Linked DNA regions of Daphnia pulex. The protein of the gene in region 1 interacts with the protein of each later gene in a pairwise test. Links are inferred from orthologs where the notes say so. Each region holds a gene or a part of one and is shown in the gene's direction. Other genes may lie near its edges. The genes, in order: transcription elongation factor SPT5-like and putative peptidyl-prolyl cis-trans isomerase dodo.

Region 1 (12,578 bases):
GTGTGCAGTTTTCATAAAGCGATTATCGATCTTTTCATTCGGAATATAACGGTGACGGCTGAAAGATCACATGCGGAATGGAATGGATACCAAGGGAAAACAAACAAAAGATTTCCGTAGAATAGCCAAGAGTATCAATACCGATTCTGAAAACTACCGAGCCTAACATTCTCTTCGCTACCTTTTATGTCCGGTGGCAATTAATTTCATGGCTGATGAACGATAGCTAGAGCACGACTTTGATATTCTGATTCTGACGATGTGTTTGACGTCACGTTTTTGAACAAACTTTGAAACCTTTCACGTTGGTAACCAGTTTTTTCTCGCAGTCGAAACATTTTTTTTTTAGTTTAGGAGAACGACAAACCGATAACAAAAAAGAAAAAAAAAATCTATTTCTCCATTTCATTATTCGCCTCTTGGTCATACACGATATTTGATGGGCTGGCTCCCTTTTCAACCTTTTCTTTATCGAGACACACCTCAGATTTGCCGTCTTCCTCCATCGCCTCCGTCTTATTTTCACTATGAATTTCACCATTTTCTTTATTTGTAGCGGCCGCAGTCTTATTACGGTCTTGAAGTGCAATTCTGACGTCATCTCGAGGTAACAATGTCAGAACTTGGTCTGCTGAAGGATTCGTTTCCTTGGTGAGCCGTATCAATAAGAACTGGATGTTTTTTCTTTTCCTTCCGGCAATATGAGGTGGAAACCAATTGCTTAGTTTTATATTCCGTAAATTATAATCCAGAAATGGACTCTGAATTGATGAAATAAAAACATTAATTCAGCAAAATAAAAAAATTAAATAAAAAATTTTTAACTTACCATCATAAAGTATTCTGCGTATTGAAGCACAAATATCCCGCAATCGTACGAGTTATTTTGTTGAGGCACATCAAGGCATGCCGATATCATCGAGTCTTTAGTAAAGGGGTTGGTTGACGGTTTAACGGCGTCCCTTCTGAAAGCAACAATTGATTTCTCATTTGGCTTCATTTTCTTTACTTGGTGTTCCACCATTAAATACTCGCGAAGAGTCGTAGCAACTCGATTGTGTGCGCTTCCCGCCAATGAATCAAAAAATAAGATGCAAGGCCTAGAATACAAGAATAAAACATAAGAATGTCGCATGAAAAACACTACACTAAAGGCAAACTGTAAAGCATTATTAAAAGACAAAAATGAATTTGAATTACTGTTTGATAGGACCAGCAATCTCTGGCAATTTTTCTACTGGAGTGCGGTCGATTGCACATGATAATTCTTCTTCGTCGCTCTCAGCTTCGTCTCTTTCTGTGTCAACATTCAACGTAATCTGGTCATCTTTGGTCGACTAAAGAACGGATAAGAACAAGCAAACAGAACAAATTGGTTCGTTTATCATGTCGACTCGTTTAAACTAATAAAGGCAGACATCAATACCTTTGAATTTGAGTTAACAGGCGTAACTGTGGTATTTCCTATGTGAAACGATTCACCGTTCACGGCCACAAATGACCTCTGTAAGTCGGCGGTTGTTTTCTTGGAGTATGTTTGTTGGGGGCGAAGTTTGATGGGTTGATTGTCTATGGCGGTCACCGGTCCTGATAACCAAGGAAAACAGACAATGGCTAGAAACCAATGGTTACGCTCGTTGATGGGTATCACGAGATAATCCTTTTCAAAAATGTCCACTTTCTTTGTCCACGATTTAACTCTCGAATGACGTTTCTCCTTTATCGAAAGGGAATCGTCATCTTCAATTGGATGTTTCCTGCGTAAATTCATCTCTAGAGTAATTACACTTCAAAATGGTTGTTGTAATAGATTAAGAGCTTGTACCGTCCATTGACTTTGGGTGGGCGAGTCGTTAACCTTTGGTAGAAAAACGATGAAAATACGTGGCATTTCTTCTTCAGACTTTCATCAATTTTAGTACTGAAAACGTATCGAAGATAAAAGTCGATGATACTGCAAAAGAAAAACAAAGCAAATAGTTAAAGGTAATTACAGAAAAAGACAACGGTGCAATGCCAAATTTACCTGTCATTTAGTAGATTGTCCTGATTTAAACAAGCATAATCTTCAGTGGTTACTGAGAAGCGGTCGGGTCCATCCGACCAGGAAAACATTGGAGTCACTGGCAAAACAGTTCTTGCGAGAGATTTACTGGATCCCCTGGTTATTCGTATCTAGAAGAGAATGAAGACTGATTTTAGGCACAAATTCGGCTTTCAACTATACGAAGTACACACTTAACCAATAGCGTAGTTATTGGTATTAGCATTACGACTACTTACTTCAACTTTGCTAGTGTCGTCTTTGCCACCATTCAGTTGCGTTTCAGTTGTCGAAACACTCGTTTCTGCTGATACAGCAGTGGTCGCGGGGAGACGTTTAAGCGCATCACGAACTTCTGGGGGTGAGGAAATAACCAAGAGCCGGTTGGCCTCGGCCTGATTAATTTCGTTGTAAACACCTTGAGGAACGAAGACTTGTTTGATTGCGTTCTTCGCTGCATCGTCCAACCCATCGGGCAGCAGTGTCAATCGTTTTTTATTTTCGTCTTCGCTAGCAGAATCCCAATATGGGCCACTTTTGGGTAACCCTAATTTTGTTGAAAGCTGGCGACACCAGCTTGGACCAACATTTAGGAAGATGACTTGAAGCTTTCGGCTGAAAAAAGCGTCCACTTTTAATAGTTGCTGACTTGGGATAGCTACATTGACGCAAACAGCATTTTTTTCTGATGGCCCATCGTGGTTGTGAAAAACTGGAGCTTGCAGCATAATTCCTTCGGATGAGAATAACACACGTCCCACTGGAGTAATCTTATATGATCCAATACGAACAGATCGGCAGTTTACGGCAAAGAAAGGTCCATTCAATCCACCTTCTTTCCAACGGAGCAAATCACTAGATCCAATTTCCTCTTCTGCATCAATAGGCAAATCCATTGAGACACCATTTAAAGGTTCACCTAGAAGAAAAACAAAGAATTTAAAAGAAACAAAAAGTAAGATAAATTAATAAGAAAAACCAGCAGAGGAAATAAATGTGTTTAACTAACATTCTTTAATATTTGGCTGTTCTTGAATCACAATTGAAGGTTTAACATCCAATTTTTCAGTTGATTTGTCGGTACCATCACATTTGAGTTTTTTGGTTTCCTGAAAGGAGTCATCATCTTCATCGCTACTCAGTGTTACACACTGTGGCTCCTCAAATTTGGCTCTACTCTGTCTTGAAGGTTGAGCATTTTGAGTCCGAGTGCGTCGGTAGCCATATGATGAATCATTTGACATCTGAGAGATTCCGGATGATTTGTTTCCAGGTAATGACTTAAGATTTGAAGTGAGAGGTACCGTTTTTTCTTTTTCAAAGACGCGCATGCACCTCATACATTTATTAGTGGAAACCAAATGTCCACAGTGGGGGCAATTAGCACTATCTGGATCTGGTGATTGCCCACTGCATTTCTCTTCTGAATTTGTCTCTTGTTTACCCTGTACAAAAACACAGTTTACTTGTAATAGAAAATGTAAAAAAAGAAACAAAAACTTACTGTGATCCCAAGTTTCTGAGTGGATTTTTGATTGATCACTTTGTGACCAACCTGTTTTCTGTATTCTTGAAGTGTTATCTTCTTGATGCCCTTACTATTTGAGTTATGTTTCAGTAGTTTCGGTTGAATGTTTTCAGAAACTAAAACAGCCTTAATCTCCGGTACCGAAACTGACCGCTGGTTTGAATTGACACTAAGTTCGGACTTGGAACTCGATTCCCCCATACTAATTATAAAATCTCAACCATCTGGACTGAATATCAACAGTTCTACGTCAGTATGATTTCATCCTGATTTACCTGTCACATGTGCTATCCGAAAAGTACATTTACCTATGAAGGCTATGATATATGACTTCGTTAGATCTGTGCAGTACCAGCAGTATTGACTGTCGTCTCATGTGCTCTCCCGTTTCAACTAAACTAAACCAGGTAGGCCAAGTAACGACAAAATACTTAGTGGCAAGTGGCGCTATGGTACCCCAAACAATATATTTGAATTGAATAATTATTTCAGAAATGAATGATATAAAACTACATAAGATAATTAATTTCCTTAAATTTATTGAATTTTAAAATGGATAACTTTGAAAAGCCATAGGCCTATTTTACATTTAATGAAAACATTTGCGAAATACTTTCGAATCAAAGGATAGATGGCGTGTAAAGACTCCCAAACTTGTTTATCCATGCATTGCAAAATTTCCTCTGGTGAGTGACGCAGATGAATTCAATTTAGGAACAACATAGTTGGAAAGAAAGAACAATTTACCTGTTTTCTATCTCATTGAAACGTTGTAGCATTGTTTGGTTTAAGGTGCAATCGTTGTTTTTCTTCTTCAAAAAAGTATTCAGCAAGCAATTAAAACATGTCGGACAGCGAAGATAGTAATTTTTCCGATAGGAAGGAAGCCCTCAGTGATGCTGAAAGTTCGGTATGGTTTACACATTTCCATTTTACTTGACGAAATCTAACCTTTAAATTTTGAAGGATAATGACTCTGGTGGCCGTAGTCACAAAGCAGTAAACAAGAAATCTCTGAAAAAAGACAAATCCAAAAAGAAAAAGAAAAGGGATAAAGGTGCAAAAAAAAGTAAACGCCATAGAGGCAGTGATTCAGAAGAAGAAGAAGATGACGAAGAAGTTGAAGAGGAAGAAGAAGATGAAGATGAAGAAGAAGTTAATGGAGGAAGAAGAAAGCGAAAGAAGAGTGATAGATTTGGTGGTTTTATTCTGGAGGAAGCAGAAGTCGATGATGAGGTTGAAGATGAAGAAGAATGGGAAGATGGAGCTGAGAACTATGGTCTGGTAGGAAACGAAGTTGACGAAATGGGGCCCACAGCGAGAGAAATTGATGGGAGACGCAGACAACAGCAAATGTGGGAGTAAGTTGTAGATAAACACAAGCTTTAACACATTTTATCCAAAGTATTAACAATACATTTTCTCTCTACAGTAGTTCAAAAGAAGAGGAAGTAGAGGAATATTTTCGAAAGAAATATGCAGATGAAGCTACTGTTACTAGACACTTTGGAGATGGTGGTGAAGATATGACTGATGAAATTACCCAGCAAACTTTGCTACCTGGAGTCAAGTACTGTATTTAATATTTTTTTTTTTTTAAGGAAAGAGTTAACTTACAATTCTTATTTCAGAGATCCAAATCTGTGGATGGTCAAGTGCAGATTGGGAGAAGAGAAGCAAACAGTATTTCAACTGATGAGAAAATTCATTGCTTACCAATTCACAGAAGAACCATTGCAAATCAAATCAATTGTGTCTCCTGAAGGCGTCAAGGGATATATCTATGTTGAAGCTTTCAAACAAACCCACGTTAAGCAGGCGATTGACGGTATCGGTAGCCTTCGCATGGGTCTCTATGCCCAGCAGATGGTCCCAATCAAGGAAATGACCGATGTTCTACGAGTTGTAAAAGAACAGAGTGTAATGAAGCCCAAATCATGGGTTCGTCTGAAGCGAGGCATATTCAAGGATGATATTGCCCAAGTTGATTATGTGGATGTAGCTCAAAATCAGGTTCATCTAAAATTGATCCCACGAATTGACTATAGCAGGCCACGTGGAGCTCTACGAACTGCTCAATCTGATGCAGAAGCAAAGAAAAAACGCAAAATTCGTCCACCGTTAAAACTGTTTGATCTGGAAGCTATCAGAGCAGTCGGCGGAGAAGTTACAAGTGATGGCGATTTCCTTATTTTTGAGGGGAACCGATACTCCCGTAAAGGTTTTCTTTACAAAAATTTTTCTATGACCGCGATCCTTGCCGATGGTGTTAAACCTACATTGATTGAACTCGAGCGTTTTGAAGAGGCTGTAGAAGGGGTTGACATGGCCGTAAGTGTTATTCCAATTGTTTTTTATTTTTAATATTTAGGTCCTTTTCTGTCGTTAACTCATAATATAATTCTTATCTAGGTTCGAATTGTATCGGGTAAAGAAGAAGCAACCCATAATTTTGCTACAGGAGACGCTGTCGAAGTTTGTGAAGGTGAACTTATTCATCTCCGTGGAAAAATTGTGGCCATTGATGGCAATAAAATCACGGTCATGCCGAGACACGAAGATCTCAAGGACCCCTTGGAGTTTCAGGCTCACGAGTTGAAAAAGTATTTCTCGATGGGTGACCATGTTCGCGTCATTGCCGGCCGCTACGAAAACGATACAGGACTCATTGTTCGTGTTGAGGACAACATGGTTGTACTCTTTTCAGATCTTACAATGCATGAACTTAAAGTTTTGCCCAGAGACCTACAGTTGTGCTCTGACATGGCAACAGGAGTCGACTCCATGGGCCAGTACCAGTGGGGTGATCTGGTTCAACTTGACGCCCAGTCTGTTGGTGTTATCGTTCGATTGGAGCGGGAAAATTTCCAAGTATGTCTTGAACGATTCTCACACTTTCAGAGATCTAACTCTTGTTTTTTTATTTCATTAGGTTCTAAATATGCACGGAAAAGTTGTAGCAGTCCGACCGCAAGCTCTACAACGTCGTAAAGAGAATCGCCAAGCCGTAGCGTTGGATTCCGAGCAAAACACCATACAACGAAAGGATATTGTTAAAGTGATCGATGGACCTCATTCTGGTCGTCAAGGAGAAATCCGTCATCTTTATCGCAACTTCGCGTTCCTTCACTCCCGAATGATGCTTGAGAATGGTGGCATATTCGTTTGTAAAACTCGCCATCTTGTATTGGCCGGCGGTAGTAAAGGTGCTGCTTCAGGTTCACCAGCAGTATCGAGTTTGGGCTACATGTCACCCAGAATTTCTTCACCCATGCACCCGAGCGGAGGAGGAGGCGGGGGAGGGGGAGGAGGTGGAAGAGGCGGTGGACGTGGAGGAGGAGGTGGTCGTGGAGGTGGGGGTGGTGGATTTGGACGAGGTGGAAGAATTGGGCGAGATCGAGATTTGATTGGAAAGACCATTAAAGTTACACAAGGTCCATACAAAGGTCACATCGGAATTGTCAAGGTAAATTTTTGAAAACGTGTTTTTTCCCCTCTAGGAAAAGAATAAAGCATCTTCTTTTTTCATCCTTTCAGGACGCAACAGATTCAACAGCCCGCGTCGAATTACATTCTAAATGTCAAACAGTATCCGTTGACCGAACTCGAATTGCCGTTGTTGGAGGACCCTCCAAATCTGGCGCTGTTTCTACGTACAGCCAAACTCCTGCTTCACAGGCTGAAGGCCGTGATACACCCATGTATGCTTCTGGATCTCGTACTCCGATGTATGGATCACAAACTCCACTGTACGATGGTTCACGTACTCCTCACTATGGTGGTATGACACCTTCTCATGATGGATCCCGTACACCTGGACAATCCGGAGCTTGGGATCCAACCGTTACCAATACACCTGCTCGATCGACCGACTATGGAGATTTGGACAATTGGGATGATCAGTCTCCTTCGCCAGCCTATAACCCGGCGACTCCTGGGTCAGCCTACCATGTTGACACTCCACAAGGACCCTACACCCCTCACACACCAGGAACATCCTACGGTTCAGATCACACTTATTCACCCTACCAGCCCAGTCCGAGTCCGGCACCTTATCAAGCCTCACCGAGTCCATCCGGTTATGCTCCGACTCCTAGCCCAAGTACTGGGTTGCCATTCCATCCATCACCTGGAATGGCTTCAAGTTATACATCGCCATCTCCCATGAGTTATAGCCCTATGACTCCGGGTGTAGCTCCGTCACCTCTCAATCCTCAGACACCAGGGGCCGGAATGGATTCGTTGTCTTCTCAGGACTGGTATACCACCGACATAGAAGTACGTTTCAAGGATTCGCATAGTGATGCGGGACTCTCGGGACAGGTAATATTATTGATACTTCATATTAATTCATTTTCTTTTTCACTTAATAAATTAATATTTTTTAATGTGTAATTTTAGAGTGGTATCATCCGTGGCATATCTGGTGGTATGTGCTCTCTTTTCTTACCGGCCGAGGATCGAGTTGTAACAGTTGCTGGGGAGTTGTTAGAGCCCATCGTGCCAAGTCGGCGAGATCGAGTCAAAATCATTTTGGGAGAAGAAAGAGAAAGCTGTGGCCAGTTGCTTTCTATCGACCACCAAGAAGGCGTTGTTAAACTAGAATCTGGCGACGTTCGAATGTTCCAGCTGCGGTACCTTTGCAAGATGACGGCACGATAAAATGACCAGTTGCGTATTTGCGGGCCCCGACTTTACTTGGAACAAACAAACAAAATTCTTCACTTTCATTTGGGCTAGAAATTCACTGTAGCTTTGATGAGTTATATTGACGAGGGAACTTCAGAATGAAATGCCAATCGTTTTCATGTAACTGCTTGAAATAGTACGGATGAATACATGAAGTTTTCGAATACGGATAATAAGCAGTTTCCCATACATTCACATTGATTTTTAAACTCGAAAATTAAAAAAAACGGATAACAACGTAATTTATTTATAACAAAATTTATGAGCATTGCGTATAGGTAGTAACAACATTTCCGATCTTTTGAGTAACTGTTTTACATCCTGTCCCCTGATGTAAATCATCTGTGAAACCAAACATGGAATCCATATTATCAAATTGCATATCCATTCCACCAAACATATCATCATCATCCTATATAAATTTTAAAAAAGAAACATTTGGTAAGTTAGAATAAAAATATTTTGCTTAGTTTAATAAAACTTGCATTAAAAATGTTGCCAAAATTGAACATTGAGTCTGCTTTCTTTTGATGCTTTTTGTTGGTTGGAGAATGAAACTTGTGATGGAAGTCTCCAAAATGCTGATCAAACTGCATCATAAAATCATCGAAATTGAAGTTGTAAGCAAACTTTGAATGTTGATTCCCATTGTTTCTTGTGCCCTCTGCACCAAAATCATCATATTGTTTCCTTTTCTTGGGGTTGGAGAGTATTTCATAAGCTGTAAAATACATAGCAACAACAGAAATGAAATCTTAGTTTGTTAATTTTGAGGCCAAAAAATGCAAAACAAATGTTACCTTCAGCAATATCTCTAAACTTTTCTTCAAATGCTGGATTTTTGTCAGGGTGATATTTCAGGGCAAGTTTGCGAAAAGCTTTCTTGATTTCCCTTTCTGTTGCCTTGCTATCAACTCCTAGAATATCGTAGTAATTGCTGCCACCGATAGCTTCGATTGAATGTTTGGAAATATGTACAAGAAGAATAACAAACGAAGTTATGCAAATGAGTTTTCTCATGATCACTCAACAAAAGGAACAAGAAAACAAGGAACTCAACAAGGAAAAATGGAGATATCACTGCGAAAATGATAACGTGGATTATTTTGCGTACCTCGAAAGTTCTTATAGTCGAAATTGACTACGTATTTTTTAAATGTTTTTTTATTTATGAGTTGGAATGTGTTCATTCGTCTAGAAGATTGAAGATGCTCCTCCCCTTTATTGCGCAACATCACCTTATCCTTGGGCACATTAGCCGATTAACTATTACACTTCTCTAGGTTAGGTATATTATAAAATTTTGAATAGCTGAATTTCAGGAATAATTATTTAACAACACGATTAAAATAACTTAGATATTTTGTTATTAATTTTGTATTAAACGCAAGGGTGCGTTTTGGAAATGCATGTGTTGATGAACGGGCGATAGATGTCTCCCTCAAGCTTCTTTTCCGACGCATCAAGACAAGGAATTCTCAATCTGCGACGACTACCAGACGACGGTAGGCGATGAAATGCATCGTCCTGAAATCTGAAGCCAATTGCGTTCTTCTCGACTAAAATGGACAAAAATTGAATTCATCTTCCAACGCTAACTTTTCTGTTGTTGAAGAAAAGACGAAGGAAAACGGAACTTAACAGGAGCGTGTGTCGAACCACGCGGAAAGCATCATCACAACTCCCCAGTGCTCTCGAGAGAAACCCCAGGGCTTGCTCAATCGACTAGTCTCTGGCTAGACTTGCTTGCTCTTTGTGCCAGCGCCATTTTGATGTGCGCTGTCACCAAGTCATGGCTCTGCATGGTGTGTTTGCCAATGACCTCCAATTCGGCAAAGGCGTCGATTCTGATCAAGCTCAAGATGATGAAAGGTTTGAGTATATTCCTATCCTACCCTCCCTTCTCTGCCCTTCCACTTGCTTTCCAAACATCCGATTCTTAGAACAAGGCCTCGATGGATTGTCGAAAAGAAACAAGATTTTCTCCTCGAATTATGGAATTAATTTTCTTGATTTCACTTGGTTGATCAGTTTCTTAATTGCTGGTTATCGAAACTCCGTTAGTTTGGATAGTTAGGACTCTTGTTAAGTTTGTTCTTTATCATCTCCGTCGTTGCCAGTCCATCTTTTTTTTATTATTTTATTTTTCAACTCAAGCAATGAATGAAAATGCTTTACATTTAAGAGCATGTTCTACTAAGTAATTTGACAGGAAAATAATCGAAAGAATTTTATGTTTAACTCCGTTTCAGAATGAAATTCTCAATTTCGGCTGGTTTTCACGTATCACGCGATGGTCACGTGATCCATTATGCATGCCCTTCTTTTCACTATCACTCCTTACACTTAAAAATATTCCCTCGACTTGCGTCTGTGGAATGATAATGACATCCCGTTATCTCTTTTTCCTAAATTTTAACAACAGTTGGTTATTTCTCTAAAGTAATGTGAAGCTCTAATGGAAAGGAAAGAGATAAAATGATGGTCTTTATGCTACAATATGGAATGATGTGTACCAGGCCCAGAATGAAATTTAATTTTAGTTCATCTTCTTGTTAGGGATAACGTAGATGATGCAGATTTAGAGGAAGGCGAAATCGCTTCTGACGATGAAGAAGTCCCCCAAGAAGATAAAAAGAAAGAAGACAAAACGGAGGTTAAATCTACGGCGAATAAAGGCGATGTGGCCAAGGAAGATTTTAAAACGGTAACACTTAACCAAAGCGAGAGACAGGATTCTCTCAACTTTAAAACTACAGGAGCCAATGCCGAAAAACGACGAGATAAACGGGCGCCATCTAACACCAACAGCAGCCGGACACGCAAACGAGCAGGAGAAGACGACGTGCCTAGTCACCGGGATTCCCATGTATGTTCCGTTTAGAATTCAACTTTATAACTCAAACAACTAATCTTTTAACATTTTTAATTAGCGCAAACGACGACGGACACAGGAAGCAGATAACGAAGACGTTGATGATGGAGAATATGACAACGTGAATGCACGGGGGCATTCGCCGATCGAGCGGCTTCAGAGATATGGCGGAGGTGAATCAGCTGGAAGCGACTACGAGGATAACAATATGAGCTCAGTTCGTCGTCAGCGGGGAAATGATGCGAGATCCAGAAGAAACAGCCCGCCGAGACGAAGACCCGCCAGTGGTGGTGGTCGGGATCGTGGAGGTGATAGAAGGCGACCGGAACGGGATCGTTCCGAGAGAGATCGAAGAGCAGCAAAGAACAATCCTCCTCAATCCAACATGTCCTCCAATAAAATGAAAGAGGAATCCATCTGCGCATTTTATATGGAGGGGAAGTGCTCAAGAGGAAATGATTGCCCCTACTCTCACGCCGCCCTTCCACCCCGCAAAATGGAACTTTGTAAATTCTATTTGATGGATTGCTGTGCCAAAAAGGAAAAGTGTCTTTACCTTCACAAAGACTTTCCTTGCAAGTTTTTTCACACAGGTTAGTTTAATTTTTATACATTTTGTTCTATTGTCAGAAGTAATGAACCATTTTTATGTACAATTTTATTTAGGCAAAAAGTGTCGACACAGTGCGGAAGAGTGCAAATTTAGCCATGAGCCACTCTCGGAAACAATGCGGGCAATCTTAATCAAGCACATTGAAACAGCACCTCGAGAAATTCTCGGCGATTTTCCCAGACTCACTCGCGAAGAAACTATTCAGGTACAAGTCTTATTTGACAATTCATCGAGTGTTTTGTAATAACGATATTTATTGACTTCATCAGGCCATCGACCACTTCTCACCACTACCCAATGGGCGTGAAAAACGGCCTCATGTTCCAGTTCTGTTCGACCAGGCTGGAAACCAATCAACCGGTGGGAATACCAACAAAACTGAAACCGTTCAAAAAGATGCCAGTAGACATCACAACCATGCACAGCTAGCAGAAAGAAACGACGATTGCACCCGTCGAGTAGCTTTTTATCAGGATTCGACCGTGACAGAAGCAGAGCACGGTCGCGGAGAACAGCCGGAAGAGAACAGCCGAAGTATCTGGTTCGGTCAGTTGCGGCAAGAAAGGACGAACGAACGGAGTAATTCCCAAAATCCAGTTGATGAATTACCGAGAGAAAAGATCGAGGAGCAACACTATTCTCCACCAGCAACAGCAGTCAAGGAAGAGGAACGACAACAACCTGTTGATTATTTATCAAAGCTTCCAGCCAGACAGCGCCAACTCTACCGTCGCATCCAACAGCAACAGCGGGAACCAGCTTCTACCCAAGAAGGATTAGATCCACGGAATGAGAAAAATTCCATGGACGACAAGTGGTATTCCAGCGA
Region 2 (10,986 bases), about 350 kb from region 1:
ATCATTTTAATACCAGAAAAGCTGCAGCATTTTCATTTTGGTGTTGGAACTACTAGGAAATGGTTTCCAATCTGAAAGTGAAAACTTAGTATTAGACTATTTATTTCAAATTTAAAGTTTTAACCTACAAAACCTTCATCAAAGTCAGTACACAAGGAATGTTCTCTGTGTTTAGTCTCTTGGTATCATAAGGATCATCTGAGAGCTCCACATCAGGTTGATATCCGTCCATGGTTGCTATTTTAATAGATGGAATTTGTGTTGCAAAAAAAGAGCCGATTTCTCAGCCAATGACACTGCATCATAAGAGTCCCCTCCACATTCAAGAATCTATTTTAATGCCATTAAAATGTTTCATGAGAATTTGTTGATTGGTGGAAATATCACATCAGCTATACCAATATGTCAACATACAAGACCCAACATTGCTGTCGACTGTCGTGTCAATAAAGAAAGTTGTCACCCCATACTTTCGAGTCAAACTCGCGCGTAGGTTTTTAATTTTTTGGGCGGATTCATTTCGGTTAGCAATTTTTTTTCCCGTTCATATTGTTATGAGGCTTTTTTTTATCCCTACAAAACGATTAATCGAACAAAAACATCGAACCCAAAGCTAAAAAGACACCAACTCCGCAAAAAAAAACCCTATCGGGAAACTCGCGCGCGAAGCAAGGGATCGGCATACAAGTTACGTAATGATGTAAAAAAACATTATTTACGTTGAAAGCAGCAGTTAAGATTTTGATTTAAAAAAAAATAAATCGGTACAAATTAATAGTAGAATTTCCCCCAAGCCTAAACACTTTCAAGTTGTCTCGAAGCGTCTCGAAAGCTTGAGAGAAAAAAGTGTCGCCCAGTTCGCCACTCGCTAGTGGAGTTTTATCGAGGAGGAAACTCACTAAACAAATAATAACCCACGTAGGTTCTAGTAGAAAATTTAATTAAGGAATAATGTCTGAAATGAAATGACTCAAATGAGATTACTTTTTTGGAATTTCCCCTCCATGCAACAGGAAATGAAGTCAAAGGCAACGCTGCTGAATTGTGCAAAACAAAAGAAAAACAAAGGTCCTACGCAACGCAATGTGCTTTTAACACAGCATTCGATACCATCTCGTCGCAAATTTCGTTTCCTATTAGAAAACGTGGCCTCTTGGCCTAGATTCACTGTTTTTCTCTTTTAATTTCTGACCATTAAAATATTGATGTAAATTTTGTACCGTTTCTCATCGTTTTAGTTCGCTGACTTCCGTTTTAATTTCGAGAACTTTTGGTATGAGAAATTGTGAGATTTGTCTTATGTGAGTTATTTTAGTATTTTTACTTCAATGATTGAATATGGTATAGGCAGAAAATGAACTTGGGTTTAAAAGAAGAAGTGAAAGTAGTGGTGAATTCCCTACTAGTTCCACATTCACGAGGCTTGACTTTGGACAAGCTATTGAATGAGTATGCCAATGTTGAAATGAAAGAATTTCCATACAAGTTAGTATAAATACACTTCTACTTTGTTGAATAAATCTAGTTAACACAGTTTATCTTTTAAAGGCAACTTGGACACAATAACCCAGCTGATTTCTTAGCTTCTATTCCTGATGTAGTGAAATTTACTAGATTACCAAGTGGACATGTTCTTCTCCAAGGTAATAGTTTAAAATCCATTCATAACCTGCTCGAATTATTAATTTTTTCCATCTTTACCAGCTATTTCTAATTCAAAAACTGGTCACATTCAAGAATTAGTCAAAGGCCAGAAGAATAGTCAAACTGCTAGTTTTAAAAACTATAACAGAATAACTCAATACAACAATCACTATCAACCTCCTGCCAGACGATATCCCAATCATACAATGCAGGGCAATAGGAATCGCTTCCAACCAACACAATTTTCGGCACCTCCACGAAGAATGACTCAATCCTATTCTAACATGGCAGGCAACACAAATGGCAAACCAATGGCTTCACAAGTACAAAGTTTGCTAACTTAATTTTTAAAAAAAAGCTAAATAAATTTTTCTATTTTTATTTAAGGTTGTACATATAAATGCAAATTCATTGATGGCTGAAATAACATCATCCCGAACATGTTCAAGTGTTGAATATGAGTCTCAACTGGTGTCTGAATTTAAAAATCTTTTTCAGTCTTATCCTGATGGAATTGACATTGCTCATGTCTTTGCCCTCTATTCGAATAAGTTCAAGAAAGAAGTGTCTCTTCAAAATATTGAGCCGAACTTGACTTCTTTTGCCTTCTTCCAACGACATAGTAACGTGTTTAGATTGTGGAAGCGTTCAGACAACACTTTGGTGGGTCTTGCAGGAAATGAGACACTACGACCAAGTCAACTAGAAACAGCAATTCCGTCACCACATGCAGATCGAGGGAGTCTAACTGGAGCAGTGCCCAAGATGCACACTCCAAATAATGCAGCTTATTCAAATGGTCAATCTCCTACGAATAGAGCGACTCCAAAGTTTCAATCACCGACTACTGCAGTCCCTGTTCAATTCACATCTCCGACTAACGTAGCTGCCACAACACAGTCGGAAGATACAATGTATCGTACAACGAATGGACATCTTGTTCAAACTCAGTGGACCGCGTTGGATATTCGCACGCGCATTCCCGGGACTAAGCCTTTACAAACAGTGATAGTTGGTGGCAGAGATTCTGAAGAAAATCTTGCTCACCTCGTGCCACCGAAACTTGTACCCGTTCCTTGGCACGCCCCGCCTCGCGCCGACGAAGTTTTGCCCGATACGTTTGGTATATTTTATTACTTTGATAATTATTTGACAAGTTTGATTTCACATTTATCTCTTTTTCGTTTACACAGGTGTACGTAAACCCAAGATCAAACACGTTTATGAAGTTGACATCCCAGTGGGACGTCAGGCATTCCCTGGAAATTTAGCCGATTTCGACTATTTCTTTCTGATTGTTGCGGAGGTCTATTCTCCAGGCGAATTCTATTGGTTCTTGAGCGAGAACAGAAAGCCCATTGAAGATCTTACAGATGACATGACGTAACTTAAAAATCATAAAATATGACTGCGGCCTGGAAATTTGACTTTTTACATTTGAAATTCAGGTTGTTTTACAGCAGTAACCCTGAGTATGTCATATCCCGGACTGAGATGTACATTGGCCAGCTAGTTGCTGCCATGTACACTGACAATCTCTGGTACAGGGCTCGAATCGTTGGATGCCATGAAGAATATTTCCAGGTTTTTTATGTTGACTATGGTAGTAAAAACTTCGTGAAGCTGGACAGGATCCGTCATCTCCATCTCCATTTTTTGAAAATGCCTCTGCAGGTAATTTTGTCTTCAAAAAATGGTTCGTTTGTGTTGCATTTAAATTTCCCTGTTATATTCCAGGCTTTCCGAGGTCGAATTTTTGGCATCCAGCCGTTACAACACGAGACTAAGTGGTCATTTGAATCAGGGAAATGTTTTTTGGATCTCATTAAAGGTGATTTCATTAAACTGTGTATTCATATAGACAGCTCATACTTATTATTATAAATTACTTAGGGTGTAAGATTATTGCTGCTGCAAAGATGGTTGAAGAGACCTTAGAGATACCAGAGTATGAAATCGACACAGTCTACTCTTTGACTTTGGTTGATACAACAAAGGAGAAAGACATCCACGTCAGTGATTATTTGATTGAAAGTGGATTTGTTTCGCCTTGCGAAGAGGAACAAATTGCTGTTGCCTCCGCAAATTCTGTTTATGAATATTCCACGCCGTCGCCTCCAGCTGAACACACCGGTAGAGCGCCTTCACCAAATCCAACTGAACACACCGGTAGAGCGCCTTCACCAAATCCAACTTGCGCGTTTCCCTCATCGGCAGTAAATTCAGTTACAAGCCAGATGCAGACAACAAGCATTTCGATTACGACACCGACCCTGATTTCAAATAACGAACATCTTGATTTCGAGAATCCATCAATAGACGAAGAGGTATTCAATGAAAGAATTTCTTCGAATATCCAGCCTGAAGAAAACGTGATTGCCTCGGTGAATGAACCCCTTCCAGTCTTAGCATCTGAAAGAAGGTAAAGAAGCTTATTTTTTTTTAAATACTTAAACTTGATTTCAAACTCCATTATTTCGATTGTTTGCAGTTTGGAGGCGAATGAGTCAAAATGCGTCGATGTAATAGGTAAATCCCCATTGAACTATTTCGCTGTTTTTGTATTTTTTTGAAATTTCATAATTCTATATTGGATTTAAATGTCATCAGTTTTGAAAGACGAACGAAGGCTATATACAGTAGAAGATGGTGGTGAATTGTATCTTCCTAAGCCGGACATCTTAATGCTCATCCCGAGTCTGGATAGTCAAATTGCCGCCTTTAAAGCAAAGATCGACTGCAAAGTAGTCACTGCCGAAACGCATCCAAATATCTTTGCCGATTGCGCGAAGTAAATATCTTTAGCCATAATTTTACATGATTTAAAAGAAATTCATCTGATTTCGTCTTATAGGGCTGGGGCACCTTGGATGAAAGATGATTCCTTATCTGAACTCACTCTTTATTCACTGCAATATGTTTCTCTACTGTTCTTCTTGTGTTCGGTGAAAGATAAGGTTGCCTCTTCAGCTATTGAGGTAATTTATTGCATCTAAGTTATCAAATAATTAATAAAGCATGTATTAACATCATTCTTTGATGTTTGTAGGCAAAGCGAAAAGAATTCAGCAATAAGTAAATAAGCACATTTTTCTTTTTATGATTTTCATTGAGTGCTCAAGTTTGAGCAATTAATTACCTTCCAATTCTTTATTTTATCTGATAAACAAGTATTTAAACCAGGAAAAATCAGTTTTTATAAAATTGAATCAAAACTGTCATTGAACAAAACATACTGTCCTAATTTTGTAATTTACTTGTATTGTTTACTTTCCGTGCAACAATAATACAGAATGTAAAAAATGAAAAATTTATGAATTAAAGATGAAAATTTTCTGTAAACTAAAACGTCTTTTGTAAATTCAAATTGTATTGTAAAATCAAGTTCAAATTTGAAATTTATGTTAATGAAGAAGTGCAAGTGCTGCCACCTAGAGATATGCTACCTAGTTACCTACAGTATCTCCTTCTCTGGACTGTTCTTTGCTGTCAAAGTCAAATCAAGCCGACAACTTTGTCGTAGTTTGAAAACCATACATACTATTGTCGCTATTTTATATTTAATATAATTCGTCGTGTGCACATTTCGCAAAGTCTCTATACTCAGTCAACACCACCATCAAAATGTCTGAAGAATTGCCACCTGGTTGGGAGAAACGTGTAAGCCGATCGTCAGGTAATATAGTCATCTTCTTTAATGCAATTAGTAGCTGGAAACTATTGTGATTTTCGCTTTTATTTATTCACTTTGTATTGATTGCAGGAACAAGTTACTACTTGAATATCTACACCAAAGAGAGTCAATGGGATGCTCCAACTAAACCAGCAGAGCGTGCTTCATCAAACGGCCCAGAAAAGGTTTGTTTTTATAAATAATTCTCTATTACTGTCATCAAACCAAATTGTAAACTAAAAGTGTATCTCTTAATCAGGTTCAATGCAGTCATCTTCTTGTCAAACACAGGGATTCTCGTAGACCATCATCATGGCGGCAAGACAACATCACCATATCTAAAGAAGAGGCTATGGATTTGCTAGTTGTTTATCAAGAGCAGATTGTTAATGGTGAAGCTTCGTTTGCTGAATTGGCCTCAAAATACTCAGACTGCAGTTCAGCCAAGAAAGGTGGAGATCTTGGTAGTTTTGGTAGAGGAGCAATGCAGAAACCGTTTGAAGATGCTGCTTTTAGCTTAAAAGTTGGTGGAATGAGTGAACCTGTGTGGACTGATTCAGGAGTTCATATTATTCTTCGCACTGCTTGAATTACATTTTTCTTTTAATTCTCTTTTTACTAGAAATTTTGGATGTTTTCGTCTATTGCATACCATACCCTTATACAACATTATTATTGCAAGTATAAATTTGTTTTTTACAATTTCTTCAACTAATTTAAGAAAACACATCAAGGGTTCAGAGTTTAGATTATCTAAAAATTTTTGTATTTACCTGACATTAAGTTTGGTAACACATACTGCATATTTCATGTTTGCTTACTGATGAATTTCAAAATTGCCAATCGATCAGATTATTTACACAAATCGATAACGTCACATAGGATTAAAAAGGGAACGACCACAGAATGAGAATATTAAAATTAGAGGGGTCAGATTACAATTTGGCGATAATCGATAGAACGTGGTAGTTTTTTTTGTTGTTGTTGTTTTATTTTTGCGCCTTCGGGACATAGAAGGAATGGATGGTTTACTCTTCTTTATGTGAAAAATGGGACCTAAAAAATATCAGGATAGTCTATTGTTCGAGACAAGTGGTGCGGACAACCACTTCGGTCACTTGATATGGATCAGAGTTGGAAGCCGGACGGCGATCTTCCAAGTAACCTTTGCGTTCTTCAGCCACTCCACGAGGCACGCGAATACTGCAACCGCGGTTAGCCACACCTGAAAAAGAATTTAAAATTTAAAAACTGAATTTAATTCAATCTCTCCATTTGACATACCGGCAGAGAAATCGTGAATGGACGAAGTTTCACAACGGCCGGTAAGACGTCGCTCATTGTCTTTGCCTTCATGGGGATCGTAGGCTTTGATGTGTTTCACATGGCAGCGAGACAATTTTTCAATCGCTTTTTCAATCTCTCTGTAAATTGGAAATGCCAGTTTGAAAATCAATAATTCATCATTCATTTTGTTTTTCTCTAAAACTTACGCAATGCCGTTCTCTTCTCGCATGGCTTTGGTGGAGAAGTTGCAATGAGCTCCAGCTCCGTTCCATTCACCTTTCATCGGTTTAGGATCCAGGGAAACATTGACGCCGAAATCCTCAGCGACGCGATGCAAAATGTAACGGGCCATCCACAAATCATCGCCCATTGTAATACCTTCGCAAGGACCAACTTGGAATTCCCACTGTAACAAAACAACAACAACAAGATTACGATATTGCCCTGACGTAATCTCCTGTTATCTTTTCAAGGATTTCAAATTTTTTTTTACCTGAGCGGGCATAACTTCAGCGTTGGTCCCCGAAATATTGACCCCGGCGTAAAGAGCAGCACGATAATGAGCTTCGACAATATCTCGTCCGAAAACTTTGTTGGCTCCTACACCGCAATAGTACGGTCCCTGAGGTCCGGGGAAGCCATTCTTGGGCCAGCCGAAAGGGTGGAGATCATTATCTAACAGAGTGTATTCTTGCTCAATGCCAAACCATGGCTCGTATTCGGCAGCCGAATTCATGGCTTCAAGGCAAGAGTTGCGATGGTTTGACTCGGTGGGTCTCTTGTTGTACTTGTAGGTGTCGCAGAGGACGAGCCTGTTGTTGCCCAAACAGAAAGGATCGCGGTAGATGGCCACCGGGTAGAGATAAACATCCGAATTGCTGCCTTCGGCCTGATATGTTGAACTTCCGTCATAGTTCCAAATTGGCAATTCTAAACAAAAGAAAAACGAAACAAACAAAACATTGAAGAATGGTTGGCCAGCGGCTAGAAATCTAAAAGATGCAAAAATGTTTCTAGTCGTAACCGGATTTGGAACCTTGTTTTTCTCATTCACCAAGGCCATTATAGTCCGAAACATTCATTAGTTATGCGAAGGAGCGTGCCAAATGCTCATAAATGGAAAAGAGGGCGTCTCCGACAGAGCGACAAAACAAATAATAGGAAGTTTTTCTTTTGTGTCAATTATTTACCCGATGGAGTCTTTGGGATGAAATCGATGGTTCTCGTCTTTGCTCGGACGTATTCGCCCGTGCCGTCGATCCAGACATACGTAGCCATGACTTTGTCGTCTGGCTGCGGGAGTCTCATGTAGCGATCCAGCACGGCTTTGTTGGTAGCGGACGCGTTAGTCATTAGACCTGCCATTTTTTTCTTTTGTGTTTCTGGGTTGTGAAGATTCTCCAAAAATTTCCAATCAAAGTCTTACACGTATCAACGATTCCCTGTTAAAATTTAAAAAATAAAACATTTAATTATTATTTGATATTTTCGTAGAGATAATCATCTGTCCCTGACTCATATGACTAAAAGGGACTATGTGGTCGACGGGTCATCCAACAAAAATAAATTGCGTTGTTGCTTTTATTTTCTTTGTCTCCATGCCAAAAATGTTGTTGTTGTGTTGTTGTGCTGCTGGTTATGTAAGATAGGCAAAGAGCAACCGAGAGAAAGGAAATTAAGCTGCTGGAGGTTTCTAGCTGGCTGGCTGGATCAATTTAAAAAAACCGCTCCGAACTGGATCGACGAAGCGATGTGAACCAGTCGGAACTGGATTCAGCACACACAAAGGAGACGGGAGGGGGGCACCGTGCAAGGATTTTCCTTGCACGACAGCGCAAGCGCACAGAGAATACCCCTACACATACGGGAGAGACTCATCATGGCAACAACCCAAAAACGTTCGGGATTTCCGCACGCAATGAACTCGCTCGTCCCCCCACAATCGTTAGATATTTTTCGAGTTTTCGCTTTTTGTTTTTTCACGCCAGTATGGGCTAGTGAAATTGCGCAATCTCTTCGGCAGATAAAAATGAGGCCGAGCAAAAATTTAAAAATGAAAAAAAAAAAATTCGTTCGGATGGCCAAAAAGGGGGGGATTACCACCAATCTCACTTGTTGACGACAAGGAATAGAAAAAGGATCGTGATATCACGTGATCTCCGTTTGACCCACTTTTCCCTGGTTCGCGCCTCAGCAACAACTTACTTTCAGTTTCGTAAACAACATGAAATATTTTATTATTTTTCAAGCCTTGTTAATCTGATAAAATCAACTCCAGACAAAAGGGTGGGGTTCCAAAAATATTCTAAGAAATCAATTAAGGGACGAAGGTCGCTTGGGGTGGAGTCGATAAAATACGCCCATGGAGCCTACATGACCTCGCTCGACCTTGACCCCCATCAAAATTTACAACAACCAAACAAATAGGAGTGGTCCACAAAAATTACATAAATGTCAAACCAGTTGCTAAGTGATGAAACCCAAATAAAAATCAGTCAGTCGTACCCGAATTGTTCTAAAGTTGCGGTCTCGAGTGGTGGTGTCCGCCTCTTGGTGGTGTGGACTCTTCTCGTTAGAAGAAGGTAGTGGATTGAGCTGCTAGTCGAACGAACGGCAGATTTTATAGACGAGTGAGAGAGAGAGGGGGGCCCCTCCTTGTCGTTTGAGACACCGAAAAGAATGACCGAGTGAAAGGCTATTGGTTCTCAAACTGGGATGTACCCCCACCATAAAGGAATAAAACGCACCGTGCACAAGAAATGCAGATGGAGTCGTTCAAAAAAACCTCCTCCTGCCTCCCCCCCACCACTCTGCGCACATACACACACAAAAAGAAACAAGAAAGCTGGCGCTATGAGGTAATGTGCCATTCTATACTCGGCGTCAAGCCCAACTCGAATCCATAACAAACATATGAAGCAAGAACCGTGAGGGACTTTTTCCGTAGGGCAGTGTAGACACGACAGCGTGTATTCTTTGTGTGTAGTTTGCTTCACGTTCCCTCTCTAAAAAAGACTAGGGACCAATGGCAATCGGCATCGCACGTGATACCCTACTGATCACACTGTTCCCCTTTGGCTTTGGAGATATTATTTTTATTTATTTTGTTTTACAACTTAGTTTAACTTCATGGGTTTTTTAATAATGCTCACGGTCAAACGGTCTACATTTTGGGTTTCAAATTTGCTCTTAAATTTCACGCCGTTGTTTGTTGTTGACAGCCAAATCAACCGGCCATCAAACAGTATGACGTAGTGCGTGTAATACAAGGACTTTATAAAGATATAGATGTAATGGGTTTATTGGGAAAAATTCACCTTTGATCGAGTCAGTTGGTTGTTTACAAGTTGGGATTGATATCAATTCAGGGCATTGGAGATGAAAATAACAGAAAACAATAGCTTTCATAACCTTTGATCGTTGAACAATAATTAGTCGAGTTAAAAACAAGTGACGTCACTGAAAAATCTATTAGTACATGGCCTTGTTTTTTTATATTATTGATGGTCACCTGTCCGTCACATTACAGTTACGTATTATAATCAGTCTGTGTGATTTTGTATCGATCGCGTCTAGCCCCCCTCCAAGGACATAAACTTTAAACATTTTGTCTGAGCGACAAAGTTTGCTCAATCCAAAGTGTCTGGATTGTTAAAACTATACGTCGGTTCATTTGTTGATAATAATTCGAAAAACGGCCTCGAGTGGATTGAAAACTGTAATGTATTTCTTTGTGTTGTAGCACGGCCGAATCACGTGAATTCATAAAAGAAACGGTTCTTTAGAAAAAAAGAAAATTACATCCAAATAAGGACATGCCAAGTTTCTGTCCTTGGTTGAAACAAAAACATTTTCTATCCGTACCGCTTGTTATACGATGTAATAATTGCGTATAAGAAAAATAGATCCTCCGAGGAAGATGAGAGAGTAGGTCGATACATAACCAAGGTCAAGGGTTTCCGGCCTCTAGTTATAACAGAGTCGGACGTTGTTAGGCGAAACGTTTGATACACGGAAGCGAGCGAAAATGTTATGCAAATACAAATTTCGCCTTGCCATTGCTTCCTCTTACATGTCACATTGACCTTGACGATACGGTACGTTCATCAAGAATCAAATGCAACTTAAGACGCCATTCTATAATACCCTAGATTATTTGCATATAACCAAATGATGAACTTTCACTCTCGGGCTATTTTACCCAGAAAAGCTGGTCCCGCTTGTGAGCGGCTGGGAGAGACGCAGCAGTAGTCTGATAATAATCTATCGATTGGAGACTTTCCCAAGGCCAGTAGACCACCAGAGAAAATACATATCCCATGCAAATTGACTCGGAATGTCTGCTGCTGTGGTTCTCTCTGCCGTCCACACTCTACACAGCC

What was found.
Region 2: the proteins of transcription elongation factor SPT5-like (region 1) and putative peptidyl-prolyl cis-trans isomerase dodo interact in binary tests that used the Homo sapiens proteins (3 or more experiments, as listed by UniProt). The link is inferred for Daphnia pulex from reciprocal best matches to the Homo sapiens genes SUPT5H and PIN1.

Annotation. Positions count from the first base shown.
Region 1 is NC_060017.1:4,112,874-4,125,451, forward strand, and holds transcription elongation factor SPT5-like, read left to right. Parts: upstream 1-4,227; 5' UTR 4,228-4,416; coding exon 4,417-4,482; intron 4,483-4,538; coding exon 4,539-4,933; intron 4,934-5,004; coding exon 5,005-5,142; intron 5,143-5,203; coding exon 5,204-5,903; intron 5,904-5,984; coding exon 5,985-6,443; intron 6,444-6,504; coding exon 6,505-7,038; intron 7,039-7,109; coding exon 7,110-7,895; intron 7,896-7,973; coding exon 7,974-8,234; 3' UTR 8,235-8,431; downstream 8,432-12,578. Other genes in the region: sentrin-specific protease 6-like, read right to left, coding at 393-761, 830-1,100, 1,201-1,337, 1,427-1,757, 1,826-1,954, 2,027-2,175, 2,284-2,963, 3,054-3,489 and 2 more; dnaJ homolog subfamily B member 9-like, read right to left, coding at 8,521-8,673, 8,747-8,982, 9,062-9,211, 9,376-9,496; zinc finger CCCH domain-containing protein 4-like, read left to right, coding at 10,054-10,133, 10,821-11,130, 11,195-11,729, 11,803-11,954, 12,019-12,578. UniProt on the Homo sapiens protein: Component of the DRB sensitivity-inducing factor complex (DSIF complex), which regulates mRNA processing and transcription elongation by RNA polymerase II.
Region 2 is NC_060017.1:4,458,709-4,469,694, reverse strand, and holds putative peptidyl-prolyl cis-trans isomerase dodo, read left to right. Parts: upstream 1-5,103; 5' UTR 5,104-5,268; coding exon 5,269-5,320; intron 5,321-5,407; coding exon 5,408-5,502; intron 5,503-5,576; coding exon 5,577-5,906; 3' UTR 5,907-6,001; downstream 6,002-10,986. Other genes in the region: tudor domain-containing protein 7A-like, read left to right, coding at 1,355-1,485, 1,549-1,643, 1,705-1,967, 2,032-2,767, 2,838-3,027, 3,093-3,318, 3,382-3,475, 3,538-4,066 and 4 more; glutamine synthetase-like, read right to left, coding at 6,394-6,542, 6,602-6,741, 6,811-7,010, 7,098-7,534, 7,795-7,969. UniProt on the Homo sapiens protein: Peptidyl-prolyl cis/trans isomerase (PPIase) that binds to and isomerizes specific phosphorylated Ser/Thr-Pro (pSer/Thr-Pro) motifs.